Linked DNA regions of Zea mays. The protein of the gene in region 1 interacts with the protein of each later gene in a pairwise test. Links are inferred from orthologs where the notes say so. Each region holds a gene or a part of one and is shown in the gene's direction. Other genes may lie near its edges. The genes, in order: regulatory protein viviparous-1 and ABA response element binding factor.

What was found.
Region 2: the proteins of regulatory protein viviparous-1 (region 1) and ABA response element binding factor interact in a two-hybrid assay, tested with the Arabidopsis thaliana proteins (2 studies listed by BioGRID). The link is inferred for Zea mays from reciprocal best matches to the Arabidopsis thaliana genes ABI3 and ABI5.

Annotation. Positions count from the first base shown.
Region 1 is NC_050098.1:164,986,599-164,998,725, forward strand, and holds regulatory protein viviparous-1, read left to right. Parts: upstream 1-6,375; 5' UTR 6,376-6,521; coding exon 6,522-8,036; intron 8,037-8,262; coding exon 8,263-8,355; intron 8,356-8,997; coding exon of another isoform or gene 8,998-9,000; coding exon 9,001-9,098; intron 9,099-10,198; coding exon 10,199-10,245; intron 10,246-10,354; coding exon 10,355-10,431; intron 10,432-10,710; coding exon 10,711-10,953; 3' UTR 10,954-11,348; downstream 11,349-12,127. UniProt on the Arabidopsis thaliana protein: Participates in abscisic acid-regulated gene expression during seed development. Regulates the transcription of SGR1 and SGR2 that are involved in leaf and embryo degreening.
Region 2 is NC_050103.1:173,331,378-173,343,352, reverse strand, and holds ABA response element binding factor, read left to right. Parts: upstream 1-4,169; 5' UTR 4,170-4,440; intron 4,441-6,778; 5' UTR 6,779-6,858; coding exon 6,859-7,902; intron 7,903-8,007; coding exon 8,008-8,079; intron 8,080-8,196; coding exon 8,197-8,226; intron 8,227-8,370; coding exon 8,371-8,463; 3' UTR 8,464-8,827; downstream 8,828-11,975. UniProt on the Arabidopsis thaliana protein: Participates in ABA-regulated gene expression during seed development and subsequent vegetative stage by acting as the major mediator of ABA repression of growth.

The DNA of each region.
Region 1 (12,127 bases):
ATGAGGATCAAGCTCAAAATGATGAAAATGAAGGTCAAGAGGATGAGCCACCTCAAGAGGAGGACAATTATCAAGGGGGAGATGACAATGATCAAGACAAAGAAGATGATCAAGAAGTTCAGGGTCAAAGACCGCCACACCCAAGAGTCCACCAAGCGATCCAAAGAGATCACCCCGTGAACTCCATCCTCGACGATATTCATAAGGGGGTAACAACTTGATTTCGAGTCGCTCATTTTTGTGAACATTACTTTTTTGTTTCCTCTATTAAGCCATACAGGGTAGAGGATGCACTAAGAGATTCGGATTGGGTGTTGGCAATGCAAGAGGAGCTCAACAACTTCACAAGGAATGAGGTATGGCATCTTGTTCCACGTCCTAATCAAAATGGTGTAGGTACCAAGTGGATATTCTGCAACAAGCAAGATGAGCATGGTGTGGTGACAAGGAACAAAGCCCGACTTGTGGCCAAGAGATATTCACAAGTCTAAGGTTTGGATTTCGGTGAAACCTATGCACCCGTAGCTAGGCTTGAGTCAATTCGCATATTACTTGCCTATGCTACTTACCGTGGCTTCAAGCTTTATCAAATGGACGTGAAGAGTGCCTTTCTCAATGGACCAATCAAGGAAGAGGTCTATGTTGAGCAACCTCCCGGCTTTGAAGATAGTGAGTACCCTAATCATGTTTACAAACTCTCTAAGGCGCTTTATGGGCTCAAGCAAGCCCCAAGAGCATGGTATGAATGCCTAAGAAATTTTCTTATCACTAATGGCTTCAAAGTCGGTAAAGCCGATCCTACACTCTTTACTAAAACCATCGCAAATGATTTGTTTGTATGCCAAATTTACGTTGATGATATCATTTTTGGGTCTACTAACAAATCTACTCGTGAAGAGTTTAGTAGGATAATGATTCAAAAATTCGAGATGTCAATGATGGGTGAGTTGAAGTACTTCTTAGGATTTCAAGTGAAGCAACACCAAGAGGACACCTTCATCAGCAAAACAAAGTACATTCAAGACATACTTACCAAGTTTGGAATGAAGGATGCCAAGCCCATCAAGACACCCATGGGAACCAATGGGCATCTCGACCTCGACATGGGAGGTAAATCCGTAGAGCAAAAGGTATACCGGTCAATGATAGGATCTCTACTCTATTTATGTGCATCTCGACCGGATATTATGCTTTCAGTATGCATGTGTGCAAGGTTCCAAGCTGATCCTAAGGAAGTTCACCTTAGGGCCGTGAAAAGAATCGTGATATATTTAGTTTACACTCCTAAGTTTGGTCTTTGGTACCCCAAGGGATCCACTTTTGATTTAATAGGATATTCAGATGCTGATTGGGCAGGGTGTAAAATTGATAGGAAGAGCACATCAGGGACTTGTCAGTTTCTAGGGAGATCCCTGGTGTCTTGGGCTTCAAAGAAACAAAATTTAGTAGCTCTTTCTACCGCCGAAGCCGAGTATATTGCCGCTAGGGCTGGGCAAAAAACTCGTAACCCGAAACCCAAACCCGGAATACCCGAACCTGAACCTGAAATACCGAACCCCGAATTTTGTTTGGGAATTTCGGGTAGCAACTTGCAAAACCCAAATTTATTTCGGGTAATTCGGGTATCACAATCGGGTACCCGAAATACCCGAACTTTCATGTGTCATGTACTCATGTCATGCTTAATTATTAATTTGTGCATCTATATGTGTAAGTGTGCATAACTTGTGATTGTAGATTGCTTGTGTTTTATATGTCCATGTATATCATTATTCAAACTATATTTTTATACTAATTTAATAAGGTGTATGTGTTTTTATGAAGCCGACATAATAGTTCGGGTAGTTCGGGAATACCCGAACTCGAAATTCCGGATACCCGAATTTTCGGGTATTGCAAAACTCGTTGTAATTTCGGGTATCGATTCTCAAAACCCGAAATTTTAAAAACCCGAAATACCCGACCCAAAATTTTCGGGTAACCTGAACGCATACCCCTAATTACCGCAGGCCATTATTGTGCGCAATTGCTTTGGATGAGGCAAACCCTCAGAGACTATGGCTACAAATTGAGCAAAGTCCCTCTCCTATGTGACAATGAGAGTGCAATCCGTATGGCGGATAATCCCGTTGAACACATCCGCGGTAAGCACATAGCCATTCAGTATCACTTTTTGAGGGATCACCAACAAATGGGGGAAATCGAGATTGCTTATGTTAGCACCAAAGAAAAACTAGCCGATATCTTTACCAAACCATTAGATGAGAAAACCTTTACCAAACTTAGGAATGAGCTAAACATTCTTGATTCTTGGAACTTTGATTGATACTTTGCACACATAGCTCATTTATATACCTTTGATCATATCTCTTTTATGTCTATGACTAATGTGTTTTTAAGTTTATTCATATGCTAAGTCATAGATTGAAAGGGAAATGGAGTCTTCGGCGAAGACAAGGCTTCCACTCCACTCTATCGGTATTATTTACCCTTCGCCGTCACTCCGCACCATTCTCCGCTATGGTATAATCTTCACTCATATTTATTTGTACCATTGGGAGAGAAAGTTAAAGGGCTCTTAAAAGACTCCGTTTTTGGCGATTAATGCCAAAGGGGGAGAAATATTAAGCCCAAAGCAAAAGGACCGCACCACCACCACATTTCAAAATTTCTTAAAGTATTTAAAGAGGATTTTTCAATTGGTATCTAAATCTTTTTCATACTGGTAAAACCCTCTTGAACACTAAGAGGAGAATTTCATCCAGGGGGAGCTTTGTTTAAGTCAAAGGAAAAGCATTTGAAACAGGGGGAGAAATTTCAAATCTTGAAAATGCCTTTTGAAATCTTATTCATGTACCTTTGACTATTTACAAAAAGAGTTTGAAAAGATTTTCCAAAAGAATTTGCAAAAACAAAACAAGTGGTGCAAATGTGGTCCAAAGTGTTAAAAGAAAGACAGCAATCCATGCATATCTAGTGAAAGTATAAATTGGTTTAATTCCAAGCAACCTTTGCACTTGCCTTATGCAAACTAGTTCAATTCTGCACTTATACATTTGCTTTGGTTTGTGTTGGCATCAATCACCAAAAAGGGGGAGATTGAAAGGGAAATAGGGTCAAACCTTTTCCTAAATGATTTTGGTGGTTGAAATGCCCAACACAAACAATTGGACTAACTAGTTTGCTCTAGATTATATATTCTACAGGTGCTAAAGGTTCAACACAAACCAATAAAAAGATCAAGTTAGGGTTCAAAAGAAAGGAGCAAAAGAAACCGAAGAGAACCCTGGTCTGGCGCACCGGACTGTCCGGTGCCCAGGGCCGTACTCCTTCAAACATGCCACCTTCGGGTTTCTGGAGAGCCGCTCCACTATAATTCACCGGACTGTCCGGTGTGGCACCAGACTGTCCGGTGCACCAGCGGAGCAACGACTATCCAGCGCAACGGTCGTCTGCAAAAGCGTGAACAATGCGCGTCAGAGTCAGAGCGCAGAGTCATTACGCACCGGCCACTGGACAATAGCTGTCCGGTGCGGCACCAGACGGTCCAGTGCGATATGAAGTCAGCGCTCCAACGGTCGAAACCGTCAGAACCCTAACGGTTGGGTGACGTAGTTGGCGCACCGGACTATCCGGTGCGCCCATTGACAGACAACCTCCCCAATGGTTGGTTTGGTGGTTGGGGCTATAAATACCCCAACCACCACCACTCAAGGCATCCAAGTTTTTTCAGACATCTCATTCAATACAAGAGCTAGTGCAATCAATACAAGACACAATTCAAAAGAATCAAAGCCTCTCTAAGTCCCAAATACACTCCAAACACCTAGTGACTAGAGAGAGAGTTTTGCTAGTGTTCTTTGAGCTCTTGTGCTTGGATCGATTTCTTCTTCCCCATTCTTGTTCTTCAAAGCACTTGTAATCAAAGTAAGAGACACCAATTATGTGGTGGTCCTTGCGGGTTCTAAGTGACCCGGTTGATTAAGGAGAAAGCTCACTCGGTCTAAGTGACTGTTTGAGAGAGGGAAAGGGTTGAAAGAGACCCGGTCTTTGTGACCACCTCAACGGGGACTAGGTTCTTTGGAACCGAACCTCGGTAAAACAAATCACCGTGTCATCCGCTTTATTTTTTGGTTGATTTGTTTTCGCCCTCTCTTCCGGACTTCAATTTTATTCTAACTCTAACCTCGGCTTGAAGTGTGCTTAAAGTTTGTAAATTTCAGTTTCCGCCTATCCACCCCCTCTAGGCGACTTTCATCCTCCCACCCGCTCGCTTTCCTCTCCATCGAGCTCCTTGCATCTCCACAATTGTGGAGTAGGAGCTCCCCGACCGTGTCCAAGACGAAATTAAGACGTGGAGGCTCTGCTCTCTCGGCTGCAGACACAACGCGGATGGTGCGACAACTTCATCTAAGGAGTGTCTGTCGTGTAGGCTCTGGTCCCCTCCCACGCCCGTAAGATGGCATCATAATTTTTAGCTTATAAGTTCATAAATCACATAATAATATCATCACATGTCAAGAGTTTCTTTATATTTTGGGTTATTCGGTCTATTGGGACCAAAAACTGAACCCTAACCCGTACATATGTACTCCTGAATTATAGCAAATGTAGGAATCAAACCCAAACCCAAACCCAAAACCCAATATAGGCTGACAATTTAGTTTATTTGGGTTCTGCTCAGGTTTGGGTTCAGTCTTCAGTTTAAAAATGCCACCCCTAATCTTGAACAATGTAAATATGCAAAGTAGTGATGAACTCAACCCTCGGGTTTAGGTTGAGTCTAGCAGTAGCCGATATCCTCTCATGTACGCTAAATATAGGGGAGGTTATCTCTCCTATCTACTCTAACAATGTCCTTTAAATTTAGAGGACGTTCGTCCTCTATATATATTATCTGCCCTCCCATCTACCCCATTTTAATATTTTAAACAAAGATTAATAACTTAAGATATGTAAAGGCTAGTTCGACAACCTTTTTTCAAGTGATTTCTATTTTCCAAGGAAATTAGTTCATTTTTTCTAGGGAAAATGGAAATCTCTTGGAAAAATGAAGTTACCGAACTAGCCCTAAGGATATAAAAATATGTACGTGCAAAAATCTAGAGCAAAATATATCTCTAATATAAGTATTTATGTATAGATGGTGAGATATAGAGGACACTGATGAATAGAAATTAGATATGGATGAGAGAATCTTTTAAATATTACTGTAAAGTAAGGATATATTGGATGTTGCGTCTTAGGGTGTAAAAATAAAAAATAGAGTTTAAACTATAACGTTTAGAACACAAAATTTAAACTAGTAAGCTTACTGCTTTGTTGTGATATTTAGAATGTGCCGTGGCCCACCTGAACCAACGCCTCCAAAAAAAGTCCAATTGTGGGTTTCTCACGTTTGCATAGAGAAATTAATTGCGCCACCTTCCAAAAGACAACCACATGAAACCTATCAAATTAATCTTCCACCATAAATATATTGTCATCAAAATATCTTTTTGGCATAGCTAGCAGACCCGAAAATTCGGTTGACACCATATTTAAGAACGCCAGTCATCTTTTTTTGTAAATGCACAGGTGGGAAAATGCTAAAAGAACATAAGTACATAGAGCCAAAGATGAAGTAAGAGGAGGACCGCAGATTAATAATAAAAAGCCCGAGGAGTTTGCAAAGGAACTCCTACTACTAGTACAATCCACCCATCTAAGTATACTACACGCAAAGTTCCCAAATAGAAGGGTTCCACTTCCACGTCGTCGTGCCCGCCTTCAAGTCCCCGAATCACCCACACCGTGTAGGTTCCGCGCGTGCGCGTAGAGAAACTCCTCTGCTTCGTAGACAAGCCAGTGGCACCATCCTGGAGCTTCCGTCCGTGGGATCACGCAGAGACTGCATCGGACGGTCAGGAATCGTCCCAACACTCGGGATTCAGTCGGCGCGCCGGCGACACGGACATCCTACGGCGCCGAAGCAGCTACGCGCACGCTGTTTTCTCCACGCACGGGCTCGCGGGGCCCACGCCTCATTGACTGACCAAAAACATGGGCGCTCTCTCGTTTCCGTTTCTGGAGCAGTCAAATTAGAACGCGGCGAAGAGGCGAGACCTGAAAACACACAGACACTGACATGTTGGACAGCATCGCTCGGCCCATGCCATAGACGGGTCATGCACAGAGAAACCTAATCAGTAATAGTTTGTGATACCTCTATGACAAAGTGGGTCCATTATCTTCAGCCCCACGTCTCCGAGAGAGGTATAGGGTGCGCGCCAGGGGTGAGAAGTATGGTGGCCGAGGAGAGGCTGGCGTGGGCGGTGGAGCGCTCCCCTCGGTCGCCACGTGTGTCACGCAGCCGCATCTCGGTTCCCTCCTCTCTCTCTCTCTTCTTCTCCCTCTCCACCTCCTGCTTGCACTGTTCGTCTCCTCAGTAACTGCACCCACCTCCACACCTACACCCGAGAGGCGGCGGCGGCAGACACAGACACCGTCTCTCTCCTCCCTTTGTCGTCGTGTCTCTCTGCATGGAAGCCTCCGCCGGCTCGTCGCCACCGCACTCCCAAGAGAACCCGCCGGAGCACGGTGGCGACATGGGAGGGGCCCCCGCGGAGGAGATCGGAGGGGAGGCGGCGGATGATTTCATGTTCGCTGAAGACACGTTCCCCTCCCTCCCGGACTTCCCTTGCCTTTCGTCGCCGTCCAGCTCCACCTTCTCGTCCAACTCCTCGTCAAACTCCTCCAGCGCCTACACCAACACGGCAGGAAGAGCCGGCGGCGAGCCCTCCGAGCCTGCTTCGGCCGGAGAAGGGTTTGATGCGCTCGATGACATCGACCAGCTCCTCGACTTCGCGTCGCTTTCCATGCCGTGGGACTCCGAGCCGTTCCCGGGGGTTAGCATGATGCTAGAGAACGCCATGTCGGCGCCGCCGCAGCCGGTGGGCGACGGCATGAGTGAAGAGAAAGCCGTGCCGGAAGGGACCACAGGGGGAGAGGAGGCCTGCATGGATGCGTCGGAGGGGGAGGAGCTGCCGCGGTTCTTCATGGAGTGGCTCACGAGCAACCGCGAAAACATCTCGGCCGAGGATCTCCGCGGGATCCGCCTCCGCCGCTCCACCATCGAGGCCGCCGCCGCCCGGCTCGGCGGCGGGCGCCAGGGCACCATGCAGCTGCTCAAGCTCATCCTCACCTGGGTGCAGAACCACCACCTCCAGAGGAAGCGCCCGCGCGACGTGATGGAGGAGGAGGCGGGCCTGCACGTCCAGCTCCCCAGCCCGGTCGCCAACCCACCAGGATACGAGTTCCCCGCCGGCGGACAGGACATGGCCGCGGGCGGCGGCACATCTTGGATGCCCCACCAGCAGGCATTCACGCCGCCTGCTGCGTACGGCGGCGACGCGGTGTACCCGAGCGCGGCAGGCCAACAGTACTCTTTCCACCAGGGCCCCAGCACGAGCAGCGTGGTCGTGAACAGCCAACCGTTCTCCCCGCCGCCTGTGGGCGACATGCACGGCGCGAACATGGCCTGGCCGCAGCAGTACGTGCCGTTCCCACCGCCTGGGGCTTCCACGGGCTCTTACCCTATGCCGCAGCCGTTCTCCCCCGGATTCGGCGGGCAGTACGCCGGCGCCGGCGCTGGCCACCTCTCAGTGGCCCCCCAGCGCATGGCAGGCGTGGAGGCCTCGGCGACCAAGGAGGCCCGCAAGAAGCGCATGGCGAGACAGCGGCGCCTGTCCTGCCTGCAGCAGCAGCGCAGCCAGCAGCTGAGCCTGGGCCAGATCCAGGCCTCCGTCCACCTGCAGGAGCCGTCCCCTCGGTCCACGCACTCCGGCCCGGTCACGCCGTCAGCAGGCGGCTGGGGATTCTGGTCGCCGAGCAGCCAGCAGCAGGTCCAGAACCCGCTCTCCAAGTCCAATTCATCAAGGGCGCCGCCTCCCTCGCTGGAAGCGGCGGCGGTGGCGCCACAGACAAAGCCCGCGCCTGCTGGTGCTCGGCAGGACGACATTCACCACCGCCTCGCAGCGGCTTCAGATAAGCGGCAGGTGCATGCATGCGTAGCTTGGCATCGCTAGCCAGCACGAGATCTATACCAATCTGTGTTCTTGCGTTTGCTCCGAATAGAGAGAGACGCACATCGCTGTCGAGCAATAGAATCGACGTGCGCGTGTGCCGTACGCTCGCTCGCGTACGGGTTCGATGCGTGTGCTCCTCGGGTGTTCACTCACGCGTATATGGTTCTGATGGACGAACATGTGTGTGGGATTGCAGGGCGCCAAGGCGGACAAGAACCTGCGGTTCCTGCTGCAGAAGGTGCTGAAGCAGAGCGACGTCGGGAGCCTCGGCCGCATCGTGCTCCCCAAAGTGAGACAGACGCCGGCCGGCCCTTCATGATCTGCATCATATCTATACCCCCCACTTGCGCATATAGATCTATCTACTTAGGGGGTGTTTGGTTAGAGGGACTAAAGATTAGTCTCTAGTTTTTAGTCCCTTTTAGTCCCTTTTTTGCCAAACACTAGGACTAAAATATGGACTAAAATGATTGCCAGTAGAATTAAAAGCTCATAATTATCATGTTGCCCTTACCTTTTTATAGATAACTAATATCATGAGTATATTCTAAGGGTATTTGAGTCTTTGGACAATGTATTTAATGACTTTAGAATCTATTTAGTCCCTAGAACCAAACATATAGGGACTAAAGTTTAGTCCTAGGACTAAAGTTTAGTCCTAGAACTAATTGAAACCAAACATGCCCTTAGCTTGCATTGCGCGTGCATGCATGCCTGTTGCATCAGTTTGGTCACTTTCTGTTCTTGAACTAACTAAAATCGGCCATGGATAGGTCATATATATAGATCTACGCATATATACCAAAGCTCGCAAACTGCCCCTGAATCTGTTCTTCAAAACCGCCTTGCCTTTTTTAAACTGAACTGGGCCGTGGTTGGTTTGGCATCTCAACTAAAAATCGTCGCCTTGTCTTGTTTTTGGACGATTCAGAAGGAAGCGGAGGTTCACCTGCCGGAGCTGAAGACGAGGGATGGCATCTCCATCCCCATGGAGGACATCGGAACGTCGCGCGTGTGGAACATGCGGTACAGGTGAGTGTGTGTGTCATCATTGGTCTAGGGACAGACGTCGAGCATCCATAAATTAAATCCAGTTGCTGGCTGCTGTTTTCCTCGAATCTGTTTCTTCTCCTTCTCCTTTTCCTTTGTTTGTTTGATTGATTGATTGAGAGCTGCTGCCTGCAGTTCGTGCATGGTCGTCTACTGGGGGCAGGGAGAGATATATAGGTAGTATACCACTAACCACTGGGCCAGAGATAGTAAATGGCATGAGTACGACATCTGTGGCATGGTCCCTTTCTTTCCCAATTTGGCAAGTGGGTCATATGAATATAGTGTACGATGAGAATCCGAGGAGCAAATAGTGGCATGCACTCGTCTACACGGAATTCTGCACGCAATAAACATGCATCTTCTCCAACTTGCTGATAAGCCTGATATATAACATACCACTACCACCAGGTCAGGTGATATTTGTTCTGAAAATGGCATCTTCTGTTCGGTCCAAAATATGATTGCCAGGACACCACAGTAAACATGGTCTCTCAGTCCAGGACACCACAGTAAACATGGTCTCTCAGTCCTCCGGATCTCTCGTTAGTACAGCGAAGCTCTATAGTGATGTTCCTAGAGCTATTTTCACTGGCGTTTTTCAGTGACGCCAGTGCTAGGGGCCAGTAGAATTCGAATAAACAACTGACCCCTAGCACTGACGACACTAAAAAACGCCAGTGCAAATAGCTTTAAACCGCCACTATAGAGCTTCTTTGTACTAGTGTTTGGCAGCTAGGTGCACATCTTTGTGCAGCAGCCATAGTCGCGTTTTTTCTTCTTCGTCGTCGTCTTGTGGCTCTTTCTTCTGGTTTGGCTTTCTCATACTAATGAAGTTTATTAATCTTTAGTAATTCGAGTTGCGAAAATAATAATAACAACTTGTTCCAGTAGTGCAGGTTCTATGAAAATGAGGTAACTGTTTTTTTGGATTCTCATATGATCTGGTGATGTTTTTTTTCCAAAACTGGATTACCTTGCTGAAAACTAAAATTATTATTCATATATACGGTATAGTATCGACTGTTACCAGTGCAATGTCAGTGCTTTCATCAGCTGAGCTCCTTATTGCATGCACGCAGGTTTTGGCCCAACAACAAGAGCAGAATGTATCTGCTGGAGAACACAGGTGAGAGGATCTTAACGTTATGATTTCCATCCATCCGACCTTGACAACGATTCTTCGTCGTTATGGTCTGTCTGATCTTTTTTTCCTGTTTTTCTTTCTCAACCTGCAGGGGAATTTGTTCGTTCCAACGAGCTTCAGGAGGGGGATTTCATAGTGATCTACTCCGATGTCAAGTCGGGCAAATATGTATGTTCTTCTATTGCCGACTATTTCCTTGCTACATAATGCTCGTTTTTCTGGTCCATATGCCTGCATCATTAGTCAACTCAAACGTGTTGTCGTCCTTGAAACTGCAATCCAAATCTACGCAACCGTTTTGCATGCCACTGTTTGTATGTGGATGCCTGGATGGCAATCAAGGACATAGTGGCATCTTTTGATCTCGCTGTTCATGGAATTGGTTTACTTCAGCAGCAACTCATCAAGAACCCTGAAACCCCCCTTGTGTCCTATATATATCCACAGCTGATACGGGGCGTGAAGGTAAGGCCCCCGCCGGCGCAAGAGCAAGGCAGTGGTTCCAGCGGGGGAGGCAAGCACAGGCCCCTCTGTCCAGCAGGTCCAGGGAGAGCCGCAGCCGCCGGTGCTCCTGAAGACGCCGTCGTCGACGGGGTCAGCGGCGCCTGCAAGGGGAGGTCTCCGGAAGGCGTGCGGCGGGTTCGGCAGCAGGGAGCCGGCGCCATGAGCCAGATGGCGGTGAGCATCTGAAAGAGCAGCAGACTCCGCCATATATTGATCGATCGACCAATCGATCGTTAGTTCTCCAAGTTACTATTAGCTAGCTATAGCTCGAAACAGCTGAACTGATGATGACGATGGTAACCTCCGTCGTGTGTGCTAAGCATGTAGCGTGCTAGGAGATGATATATTAAATATAATCGAGTAGTAGAGCCACCCGCTGTGTGACGCTAAATTTGTGTGCATGGTTTGGTTTGTGAGTTGGGCCCGTGCGTGGCTGTGTCATGTCGTGGTTAATTAGCTATACTAGTCCTGTCTGTACATGCATGGACATACCTGATCTCTCGGCCATTGGTGTCGGCGACGTGCCATTCGGCTAACAAGACGACAGCTGCAGCCTGCAGCAAAAGCTAGAACATTCTACACATGCCTTCGTGTATGTTATGCTTTGTAGTTTCCTGGATGCATGCATTGCATATAGTGGTGTCCTGCTTGGTTTATGCCCAAAATTTGTCATACCAAAGATTTAGGAAGACAAAATCCGATAAAAAATAATCGTTATACATTTGTCAAGCCACAGGCAAATATGAGAGGTTGAGAGATTTTGGTAGCAAACCAAATAATAATAGTCACGAACCAAGATTTGTCAAACGGAATGATAGTATGAACCAAAATTTGTCATGCATGCCAAGCCAAAGCCAGATTAAAAAAAATCTGTTATGGATTTGGCAAGCCAAATGTGAGAGGTTGACAAGTTCTGTAACAAACCAAATGATAGCTAAAACCATAGCTTGTCAAATGCTTGGCTTGACTTAGCAATCATATTTTGAAAGCCAATTAACTAACCGCGCACCCAACTTTGTTGCAAGCATGGGTTGCTTTTTTTTTTCCGAACAAAGCGTGCATGGTGGTTGCTTTTTTATTATTATATATAAACAATGCTGATGGAACGAAGCACAGTGGTGATAAGCGATGAACAGAAACGACCACCATGCGTGTGTATATATGCAGAAAAAAAAGGTGGGTGGTTCTTTCCTAAAATTATTTATGTGTATAAACAGGAAGGAAAGGAAGGCCACACATGCTGCATCTGCATCACGCACGGCACCTAACCTGCTGGTTGATTCCTGATGCGCCCCTAGATTCCTCATCTGGACAGGACAATGGACGACGACGGGGCATGCATGGCCGGGACTTCGTTCGC
Region 2 (11,975 bases), on another chromosome or scaffold:
GACTCATGCGGAGGGCCCGTGATCAGAGGTGCTGTTGAATTTTTAGTTACACAAAGTCTACTATTTAGCATCCACATGTTAGTAATTTTTTAGCAAGAATGCAATATCGGTACATAGTATGCCATGAATTTTTTTACCTATCTTTCTAGCATTCCTTTTGATGAAAAGAGAGAGTAGGAGTGTGTTGTGTGTGTGATAGGGGTGTACAGAGGAGAAAAAACTCAAATGCACGGCTCAACAACTCTTGTCATGTGACTTTTATCTTCTTGCCTTATAGAATGCAGATTCTAGAGGCGATCACTGCACACTGCACACACAGCCTTCCCCTCTGTATAGCTAATCCAATCGACAAATCCAGTGTCTGCGCTCTCTCTTTCTCAAAACTATTGTCTCTTTTTTGGATTCTAATATTCACCCAATCATTGTTTTTGTTTTGTCTCATGTAAATTTCAGAACATCGAATCCTATGTTTTTGTAAATTTACTCTTGCGAGCTCAAATTATTTGCATAATAACCAGCCGTCCGGGACGGAGCTTTACCCATACGTATATGTTCAGCTATGTTGTGTGGACTGAATGAAAACGTTCTGAGCTCTACTAAAAATATATGTTCACCATGCTATCATGCTTAGTAACTGTGATATGGCATTGTTAGAAGTACAAAAATCTAGGACCTCACATGAGTACTCCCTATTGTCTAAATTTTATTTTCCAGTACAACCAGTTAGTGCACTCCGTGTCCATAAACATGGCGCAAGGACAGATGGGGCAAGGCAAACATGAATCACTCCAAAGTACAAATAGACCAATGGAAATATTTGTATTAATAATATTAATTATATAAGTGGTAATTCTATTGGTCTATTGACAATATATCTTATCCATGGAAACAGTTGGCTGGACCTTAAGTTTTTTTCTCTTTCGTAGATAGGACTGGACACGACTTGTGGCTATTTTCTCTCTATTTATAATATTTTGTAGGGATAGATTATTCCTCCAACTCATTGTTTCGATTAAAAAAATATACCTAACAATCTTTTATGTGGCACCTCTTCAGCATAACCTTTATATTCATTCTTGCACTTGTCAGAGTATTCTACCCTTACAACCATGGTGCAAAATTAATGACATTCTTTAAATGTTTGTGTTGAGCTTCATTGTTCAGTTGCTCCATCACAAATGTAGATTTGATATCTACATTATGCTTTCACATACCTATAAAGGAGTTATTTTTCATATTTTGGTATGTTGTTGTTTTCACTTAACTTCAAGAGATTTTAACAATCTCATAGGTTGGAAAGCAGATGGTTCTAGGCACACTTGAACAATGGTTGTCACTGAACTTAAGGGGTTTTAATTGTTACTGAACTTTATTGATGCATAGTGAATTTACCATTCTAATTGTTGTGAATGCATGATATCACAACAATGACATGCCTTTTTAGTTGCTGCTGTTATCGGGTTGGGTGGCGCAGGAGAAAACAGTGATCCCACTGCTCAATCTATCGATCTATGAGCCAAACAAGACACAAACCATGGAACAAGTGGATTGTCTGCATCTTACCATTAATGTTGAAGAATGGTTGGATGACAAAGGCCAAGGAGAATGCTGCAGCTATGTTATTCAGATTATATGTGGTCCATGACAATAAAAAAGATAATGAATGATCCAGAGAATGTGAATGTATGCATAGCCTTTTATTCGAGTCAGCTATTAAACAGGCTAAACTATTGTTCAAGTGAGTAGAGGTATTTTGCAACACTTAAATAATGGGTAGTGCCTTATCGTTATAGTTTCCTAACATATTTTTATGTACCATGCATAATTTCTTATCTGAGTTGTCACCTGCAAGTTTCTCAGCAGCTTATCTCTTCATCATTGAGTCAACCTTGTACATTATGCAGAAAATGGTTGTCTTTTTTATGCGATAAGGCTGTCTGGAATGCTATCACAAATAATTAGTGTTTTTATATCAATGTACATTATCAATATATTATCAATGTATTCTTAATGATGAAGAGGTACAACGTGGAATGCACGAGGTGGAAGGCTAGCACACCGAGGTCAAATTTATCCTCCAGGTTCAACCATGGAAGTGAATCTTCTGATGATATTTGCCTATCATTAAGAATTTTATATTGACTCTTTTGAAATAATTTGTGCGATATTGATAATATTTGTTCGACATCAGTTCAATTTATTTGGGCATGTGTATTTATAATAGTATTACATATTTATATTGTCAATATAATGTTAGTGCTGTGGTGATATTTTGCATCACGAATTTACATATTATAGTGAGGTTTGTGGTTTTGTATCTATGTTTCATACTAATTTTTTATTCTCGTGACAACGCACGGGTACAGACCTAGTAAAACTATAAATTGATATCAGCCAAAGAAGATTGTAAGACTCTAGCAGGAGCCGTATGCCCGTGTACGGGCGTGCATCCGTAAAATTTACGTGTTTTCACACTGTTGAGTTCCCCAGCAGTCGTCGTATCCAGCGACAGAAAAAACGGGACGGAGGTGGGCTCCCTTTTATCGTGTATTCTCTCTTATCTACGCAACCCAGCCGACGCCTTGCTTACACCGCTTTACGAAGCCGTTTATAGAGCTTTATGGGCTACTGTGCAACTCCGTATCGTTGTCTGTCACTCTATAGGATACGGATCCGCAGCCAGCCATTAATAGAGTTGGTCTAATCTTTAATAGCAACAAAGAAACCATCATAATCAGTTTTAATAACAGCTAGTAGTGAATTCTCCCCCTCAGACAAACACGTCCTCGCCTCACCTCGTGCAATGGCTAATGCTAAAACCTTCCCTGCAGTCATTCCAGGCGTGCCAATCGGCGCGGCTCGTAAATTTGCAAATGGCGTTTGGTGGAAAGCTCCAAGCGACGCGGGGCCAGTAGATGTGGAGCAGTGGAGGCGCGCGGACAGCGGAGGCTCAGGCAAAAGCCATTGATTGCACTGAACAACGGAGATTGGACCGGCGACTGCAGGGTGCAGGCACGGGGTGGGGGGATCACCGTCACGTCACGGCACGGCACGTATCCTGCACGTGTCCATCTCTGGCGGCCTGTACGTTTTTGGCCCGGGTCTTATTTCCTACGACCACCCGGCACGCATGCATGCATGTCTTGTCTTCTCCACGCCGACATAATACCCGCAGGAGACGACCGCGGCTGAAACCGTGAGCCTTTTTTTATTGAACAGGAGGGGCAAGCCCCTACTGAAAAATTTGTTAAAACTTTAAAAACGACCGGATTAGAATTATACAGGAAAGAAAATTACAAAAAAATATAAAAGGATAAAATTGGCTGGATCTACTGCCAGTGTTGAAGCTATTCAGGTATTACCGAATCGAATCTTCCTTTAGCTCTAAGCGTGATCAGATGTAATTCTTTTGCAAACTCACTTTTACAATGCTGCACTGTTGGGGCCTTATCCTGGAACCGTGAGCCTTTGCTTGCTTTCAGTGCTGAAACCGTGACAAGAGTACCTCTATCTGCAAAATACTTACTACTAAATACGTAAACAGGTAGTACACGGTAACACGTATGTAATGACCGGCGTATACATGCAGCTGGGACAAGGCTGGCATTGATACGTAGAAAAAAGGTGGTGAGGATTTTACATTAACCTTTGTTAAAATCTTTAACCGATCCTAAAGTTGGCGCGGATCGGACATGCAGACTGCAAACGTTCATCCGGTGTGCACCGGCGCGGGTGCCCGAAGCAGTGGCACCACAGCTGCCACCGGTGGCGCGCAACTCGGCTCGGCCGACTGCGGGCATCGGCTGCAAAAGCAAGGAGATAACGCGCGGCAGACTGCGGGCGTCGGCTGCGCCTGCTGGATGCATGGGCAGCAGGTCTGACAAAAAACAAAACCCCGAGGCGGAAGCAAGCAGCATGCAGCAGCTGAGCGGTGGGCCCGTAGCGGCTCCTCGGAACTCGGAGCCCATCGCCCCTCCCCCTCCCTCTGAGGCTGTGTGACTCCCTTCCCTTCCGCGGAAGGAAAGGAAAGGATAGCTATCGCTGCTGGCGGTGGAAAGGCAACGTGCCGACGAGCCCGACACGTCCAAACGACAGGGGGCGTCGTCGTCTCTCCCAGTCCCACCAACGCGTCCAAGCCTATAAGTAATGGCGGAATGGAAGCGCACGGCACATCACTACTCTACTAGCTAATTACCTCCGTTTCGGCGCCGCATCCAGCCCCGGCCCACAACATATGCCCGCGCGCGACCACGCGGCAGGTCTCGCTCCCCGTCTACCAACTCGGTCGCTTCGCTTCAGCGGCTCGTCGTTGCTATCACTTCGTCGCCGCGGGTCGATAGCAAAGCTTGGCCCGCTTGCGCATCGCGGCTGCCGGACCCGGACGCACGCGGCCGCCTGGAGGCGGGCGGCTCCCTTCCGGCTTCCGCGGCGCCTGAGGAGGTACGCACCGCGTCGCCTCGCCTCGCCTCGCCTTCGCTCTCCACCTCCGTTTCAGCATATGCAGACATCTCTGCTCGTTTTGTTTGGGGTTTTCAGTTAGAAATGCGAGGTGTTTGCCTGTGGTCTGGTAATACTGTTCGCCGCGCAATCCGTGACCACAGCACTAGATGACTAGAACCCTACTCTGCGCGGCTTTGCCACGCCCCTTGTTTGGTAATACAGTATTGCCTTTCGTGACTGTTTTTTTGTTGCTACTGAATGCAAACATCATGCATGAAATCCAGAGCACACATACAGAATAAATCTGATGAAAATGGTAAAAAAAAAATACTAGTATTTCGTTATTAACTCGGTTGTGTAGATGAATATTTGGCGCTAGCTGTAGCAATCGCCTCGTTGTAATTACAGAGAGATGGAACACATGGTTTCGCAGTGTATAGAGACAACAAATCTTGCATGCCGAATCATACAGGAGGTGCTGCAATGTGTCTGTTGTCTGCATAGATTTCGAAGTAGTTGAGCATTCCACATCTAGGATATAAAAGGTGATTTGTGAAACTCTGCTCGTATTCAGCACCGATGCCTGTCGTTCACGGAGTTGAAGTAGATGTAGATCCAAGAAGTTAGTATGCGTCGCCAGTCTTTTAGTAACGCCAGCTGCAACTGCAATGGTCAGATACCAACAGAGCAAAGCAAAGAGTGATTTAAAAGCAGAGCATTCTGAATATGTCACCTGATGCAATCATGTTGTCACGGAGGACTAGGATATAACAACATTAATGTTACTACAGCATATTTTTTTAATATTTTTTTTTGCACAGTTTCAATTATTTAGAAACAAACCTAAATCTATTTAAAAATGTCCAGCCCTAATAGAGAGGGGAAAGAACCAAAGAGTATGGTGTATTTGAAAATGAATAGAAAGTATAAATAGAGTGCGATGAGAGAAGGAATTGTTGGAATAAGCCTTAACAGTCCAGCCCTGATAAAAGTAGTACCATGTACCCGCAACAATTGGCATACACTTTCGCGATGAAGCGCCCCAAGTACAACGGATCTTTTGGAGCATGGTACTAAATTTTAGCACTATACTTTTAGCTAAACTTGAAAATCCAAACAGGCTTGTGGCTACATGTTATTTTTAGAGGGCATGCTCTTTTGAGAGCATGTACGGTTTTGCGACTAAAATTTAGTTTTTAGTTTAGTTCGTATCACATCAAATGCTTAAATAATAATGTTTGATTATCAATTATTTGGTTTTAATAAATTCATTTTATATTTTATTATTTAGCTGTATAATTAATTTTATAATTAAACTATATTTAATGCTAGTAAACCACTCATTTTATGTTCGGTTCGCTCTCAATTCTCAATCTATATATAGATTGAGTGAGAACGTTTGGATTTAAATCCCAAACAAATCAAAAATTTTGTTATTTTATTTCAATCTTATTTAATCCAAATGTATTGGCAATAAACAAACAAGGCAAACCAAACACCCTTCTACACTGTACCCGGACAAGTACGTCATGCAGATACAAATTCCGCGAGGCACGCCGGACGCGCCATTCGAGTTTGAATGAATAGGAGTAGACGATCACGCTACGTCGGTAACATACACTGAGGTGTCTTGGCTGCAGCCGAGCTAGATGTCAACAGCGTGCTCGTGCTCGTCGGGAAGCCGTAGGAAACCCGGTTCAGATGGTCACGCCTCCTCGCGGTCCATCAGCAGTGACCTGTCCCGTTTAGGAAACGGCCGGAGAGCAACGTCACACTCACACGCGCTAATTTTGGCCTCTGCCAGGCAACGGAACAGAGCACGCCGAGCTCACTGGTATATAAAAAAATAATTAATACATAACAGAACCGGGGAAAAGGAGCCCGAGGTTTCGTCGTATACTCTTTTGTGTAACAACACCGCTCCCTGTATCTATCTGATCTCGTGCGGCGGTGGAGAAGTCGACAACAAGCACGTGCTGAATGTTCGTCAGGGTCCTGCACTGGGGTGCGTAGATTATTCTGTCAGGATAAGTACTGCGCTCTGGCCTCTGCGCAACATGCGACGCCGGAGAGCGCAGAAGATCCTCTGCAAGAAGCTGCTGGTAATTCACTTCTGAACAAAGATCCAAACAGAGGAAGCGTCTATCCACGCATGCTAGAGACGATGCCGATCAGTCATCAGAGCCTGACCGAAGCGCAGCAAACTGCGGCTGCGCGCGTAATTTGGACTGGCTGTTTGTTATTGATGACGATGAAGCCCCTACCCGGCACCGCACCTGGGTTTTCTCGATGCATGCACCAATGTTTTCTGATCACCACGCCTGGCTTTCGCATGCAGGCTATAAGCACGCGTCGCGTTCAACAACGCATCAGCAGAGAGTGTCCTAAAAGGAGCCAGTCTCATAGGTCGACTGAGAGATGGCGTCCGAGATGAGCAAAAACGTGAAGGCCCTCGACGAGCAGGAGGTCACCTCGCAGCACTCACGCGCCCAGACCAGCGACGCTGCCGAGGAGCAGCAGCAGCAACAGCAGGCGGTGGACCCGCTGGCGCGGCAGTCGTCCATTATGTCGCTGACGCTGGAGGAGCTGCAGAACTCGCTGTGCGAGCCGGGCCGCAACTTCGGATCCATGAACATGGACGAGTTCATGGCCAACATATGGAACGCCGAGGAGTTCCAGGCCGCCACAGCCGGCTGCAACAAGGAGGGCGCGGAGCGTGAGCCGGTGCCCGTGGCGACGACGACGGGCACAGGTGAGAACGGAGGAGGAGGAGGAAGTGGGAGGGGACTGGTTCGGCAGGGTTCGTTCGCGCTGCCGCCGCCGCTGTCCCGGAAGACGGTGGAGGAGGTCTGGGCCGAGATCAGCCAGGGCCCGGCGGACTTCCAGGCCAGCGCGGCGCCGCAGCCCGTGGCGCAGCCCCAGGCGGCGAGCGGCGGCGGCGTCGCGGCCAGCGGGCGGCAGGCGACGCTGGGCGAGATGACGCTGGAGGACTTCCTCGTGAAGGCCGGCGTCGTGCGGGGCGCCTTCGCCGGCCACGGCCACGGCGTCGGCATGGTCCCGGCCGGCCCGATGGGCATGCAGCACAACGCGGCTCCTCCCATGATGTACCAGGTGGCGGCAGCGGCGGCGCCGCCGCCCGGCGCTGTATACCCGGTGATGGGCGACGGCATGGGGTACCACGGCGGCGGGTACCCCGGGGGCGTGGCGGTGGTGCCGCCCCCGCCGCCGTCTCAGTGCGTGGCGGCCGCCGCCAGCCCGGGGTCGTCGGACGGGATGAGCGCCATGACGCAGGCGGAGATGATGAACTGCATTGGCAACGGAGGGGTGGTCCGCAACGGCGGCGGCGGCGCGCGGAAGCGCGACTTCCCCGAGGACGGGTGCACCGAGAAGACCGTGGAGCGACGGCAGCGCCGCATGATCAAGAACCGCGAGTCCGCGGCCCGGTCACGCGCCCGGAAGCAGGTGTGCGAGCTGTCCTCGTCGACTTTCGTGCTCTTTGCGTATTGCGCGTGTCATTGACAGACTCGGTCTCGGTCTGCTCCTGGAATGATGCCGATGCTGGTGCAGGCGTATACCGTGGAGCTTGAGGCTGAGCTGAACCATCTCAAGGAGGAGAACGAGCGCCTCAGAGCAGAGGAGGTACTGGGAAGGCGAAGCATTTGTTCGTCATGACACCATCTCCTTATTCATATCTAGTATACTACTATGCATTGATCTGATCAAACACGACGTCCGTGTTGCGTTTTTGTTTTGCAGAGGACGATTCTGCTGTCGAAGAAAAAGATGGTACAGTAACAAGTTTCACTCAATCGCTTCCTTTTACGGAGTACCGGTCATTTGCTAGTTGTCAGTGTAACAGTCGATATGCTCTGTCAAGACAAGACAGTGTCCTGAAGGCAACCCTGCCATGGCTTTTTGTGTCTGTTTCAGCTGGTGGAGAAGATGATGGAGCAGGCAAGGGAGAATGTGAGCGCCAAGAAGGTCGGTCCCGGACTGCGCCGGTGGGGCAGCGCCATGTGGTGAACTTGTGACGAGTGAGACTCGCGTTGTGCAGTTCCAGTTCGATTGGCGCTTGCTTGCTTGCTTCCATGGAAAGTGCTGTACCTGTCGGTACCAGAACCATTGGTAACAGTACGCGATGTGATTGACGCATACGTCTCTGAGGGACTAATAGATATATGGGCAAGAGCTTCCGCGTTGGCCTGCTATTGTTCATAAGCCTTGGGTTGTACAAACAATAAACCAGCTGTCTTTAAGATAGCAACTCAACACAAAGCTATGTGTTTTCGTCCATGTTTATTTGACATGGGCCATACTGAGTCCTATGTCTGTGTATATCGTGCATTTGATTCTGGTATTCTCGTGCGATGCAAATGGTTGGATTCGGAGGCTACCAGCAACCGAATGTTGTTTGGTAGAGCTTCACTTTAAGAATTCCATGTATATTTCAGCTTTTTCTACTTAAACAGATCTAGCTCTATAAGCTCTAGTTAAAAAAAAACTGAAACTAGAGGCTAAGAAAAGCTGAAATTAGAGGCTAATTTCATGAAATTTTTTAAGCTCCTCGAAGGGAAGGGTGTTTCAAAAACACTCTTCATGAAGTTGAACAAAAAAATAGTCACCATATCATTGGTTACATGACCTATCGATTCATGTCTCTTTCTTCACCCGTTAATCATCAAGGGTAATTAAGTAAACTCATATAAATTAATTGTATTACAGAAGTTGAAGCCTATGTACAAACCAAACATTTTAATCTGTTGAAGCCGTTTCACGATAAAGTTAGAAAACCGAAGATGCAATTCTTATAATGAAATGAAGCCCTCCTAAAGAGGGCCTTAGAAGCAAGAAAACAAGCAAGTAAACGGCAACCGGGAAACAGAAACTTGAAAGGTCTAGTGTTTGGGCCAGAGGAAACACACCATTTACAGTCCATGCGACGTAAAAAAATGCTAATGTCCTTCCATCGTAGATTAAGTTGTATTATGGTAGTAGAGTAGAAAGGTAAAATATTACTTTGAGACTAATAAGTTGAATAAGCTATCCAATGCTACCTTATGTTATTTTTTTAGTCTCAAAATAACATTTTACTCTACTATCCTTATAGAATAATTCAACTTATATAATTTAGGAGGGGAATAAACACATCCTTTATCTGAGGGTAGTTCTTTTTTTTGTTTGGCATTTATATGGGTGCCTCAAATGATTTTTTGGCCCACATTGTTGTCCGCAGTTGAAAGGTAGTCGGCTCAAGTGATTTGGCCCACGTTGCCGTCCTACAGACTGCAGAGTAGGATAAATGTAAAAGCTACTGCTGTGTTTCTTTATTGGTAGAAAAAAAATATAACGAAAAATTACCGTGCAACAATTTATTAATGAAATCTTCATTTATAGCTAAAATAAAAATACAAAAGGGAAATAAAATAACGACATCCATAAAATAGAAAAATAAAATAAAAAAGTAAATATGATAGAAACTCACATGCACCTCGAGAGTTAATGTGGGCCACCAGCATTCACTTCCTTCGGAAAAGAAAACAATAATACCTCTATTCCAAAATAATATTTGTTTTATTTTTTATACCTATATTTAACTAGATAATGATGGATGTGGACATATATAAAATATATACGCTAAATATTACATAAATCCATTAAAAGTCAGAACTGATTTAGTTTTGGTAGGAAATAGTTAATAAAAGTAAAATAAGAAAGAAAGAAAACACAAGACGAAATTAGGAAAATCTAAAGAAAAAAAAATAAAAGGAGAAAAACATAAAAAAGCAAAAATAATAAAACAGAGAATAAAAATAAATTAAATAATTTCTTAGAGTATAAATAAAAATAAAAGGGATGACAAATAAAAAGGAATAAAAATCATAAGACAACAAACTTGAAATGAGGGGAAAATAAAAAAATAAAATATTAATAGAAACAAAAAACAAATCATATATGTTATATATAAGAATAAAATTTTTAATAAGAATAGGCCACTGTTATCTGAGTTGATACGGTCAAGATGGGTCATGAACTCACGACGAACACAAACGGTCGGAAAAATCACTGTCTCATTTCCATTACTATAATTTTTATTGAAAACATGAGCGAGAGCTGCATAGCCGAAAACTGAAACAGTTACGAGATATATGGTTACACGAAAATGAACTAAAACGAACAGATATGTAACGAAAACGGACGGTAAGCGAAAACTTTGGCTAGAATATATAATATTGTACAATCACTTAGCAAACTACAATATTAATAGGACACTATAAATCATGACTTAACAAGTTTAAAAGTCGGCACAAAAACATATGTTTTTAAAAGATCGATAACTTGAATAAAGACAACACTTTTTTGTCAACATTATTCAATAAATAGGATATATGACGAAACAAAATGTTTTCCGTCCGTTTTCATACCTAGATACCACAAAAAGGTTAATGACCTAATGGAAATAGAAAATCCCACCTTATGTGGAATGAAAATGGGTACTCATTCGGATAGTGATTTTTGGCATTTTTATTTGATTGTTAATAAATATGATATATAGTATGCTATGTAGATTCATATTATTGTTTTTAGCATTGAGCTTGTAAAGTTTTGTAAACAGTAAAACTAAAATTTTATTATATATCTTCTCAAATGATAGATATAAAAGTCAGACACAATTCAGATACATTAACTTTTTGTTGTAGAGAGCAAACAATATTTGAAACAATTTATGTAAAATTTAATTTTTATCTGTAACAATGTGCTTAATAATTAGTATCAAATTTCATACATAATTATTTGAAACAATGTGCTAGTTCAAACATAAGTATTTGAAACAATGTGCTTGATACAATTCAGCGTTTTAGACTAAAATGTAACGGAGGGAGTACTTCCTACAGTTGGGGTACCGTTTTCATCCACGCACGCGTGGTGGACAGTACTGCGCGCCGACCGGTCGGACCGGAACCGGAAGATTCTCGCGTCCGGAGTCTGCGTCTCCATTCTCCACCTTCTTCAAAGGTTCAACTCAGAGAGGAGAGAACTAGAGAAAGATCCCCACCCCCAGGCGACGCGACCGGCGAGCCCCGAAACCCTAGGTCGCGCGACCCGGGCAGCGCGCTTCTGCGTGACTGCGTGTCTTTCGGGGAGGGGACAGCGTTAGGACGCGACGAGGTTAGCGAGGCCGTCTGGCCGACTATAAGCGGAAGAATCTCCTCCGAAGCCTTCCTAGAGCTGTGAAGAGCGCGTGGATCTCCTGGATTTGCAGACTCGAGGGGAGCTGAGACAAGGTTTTGATTCTGTCCTTTTGATTTTGAATTGATTCTGTGCAAGTTTTGATATTTTTTTGATCGAAGGCGAACTAGGTGAAATAATTGTGTATTATTGTGAAGTGCTACTTTCTCAAATGATGAAATTTTCAGAGCCATATTGTGCTAATTAAAGGTCACAACTAGGTAATTTATAGAGGTTTGAATGGGCATAGTTGTGAATTAGTAAACGCGAGATGCATTGAATTTTAATCCATACTGCTATGGACTCTG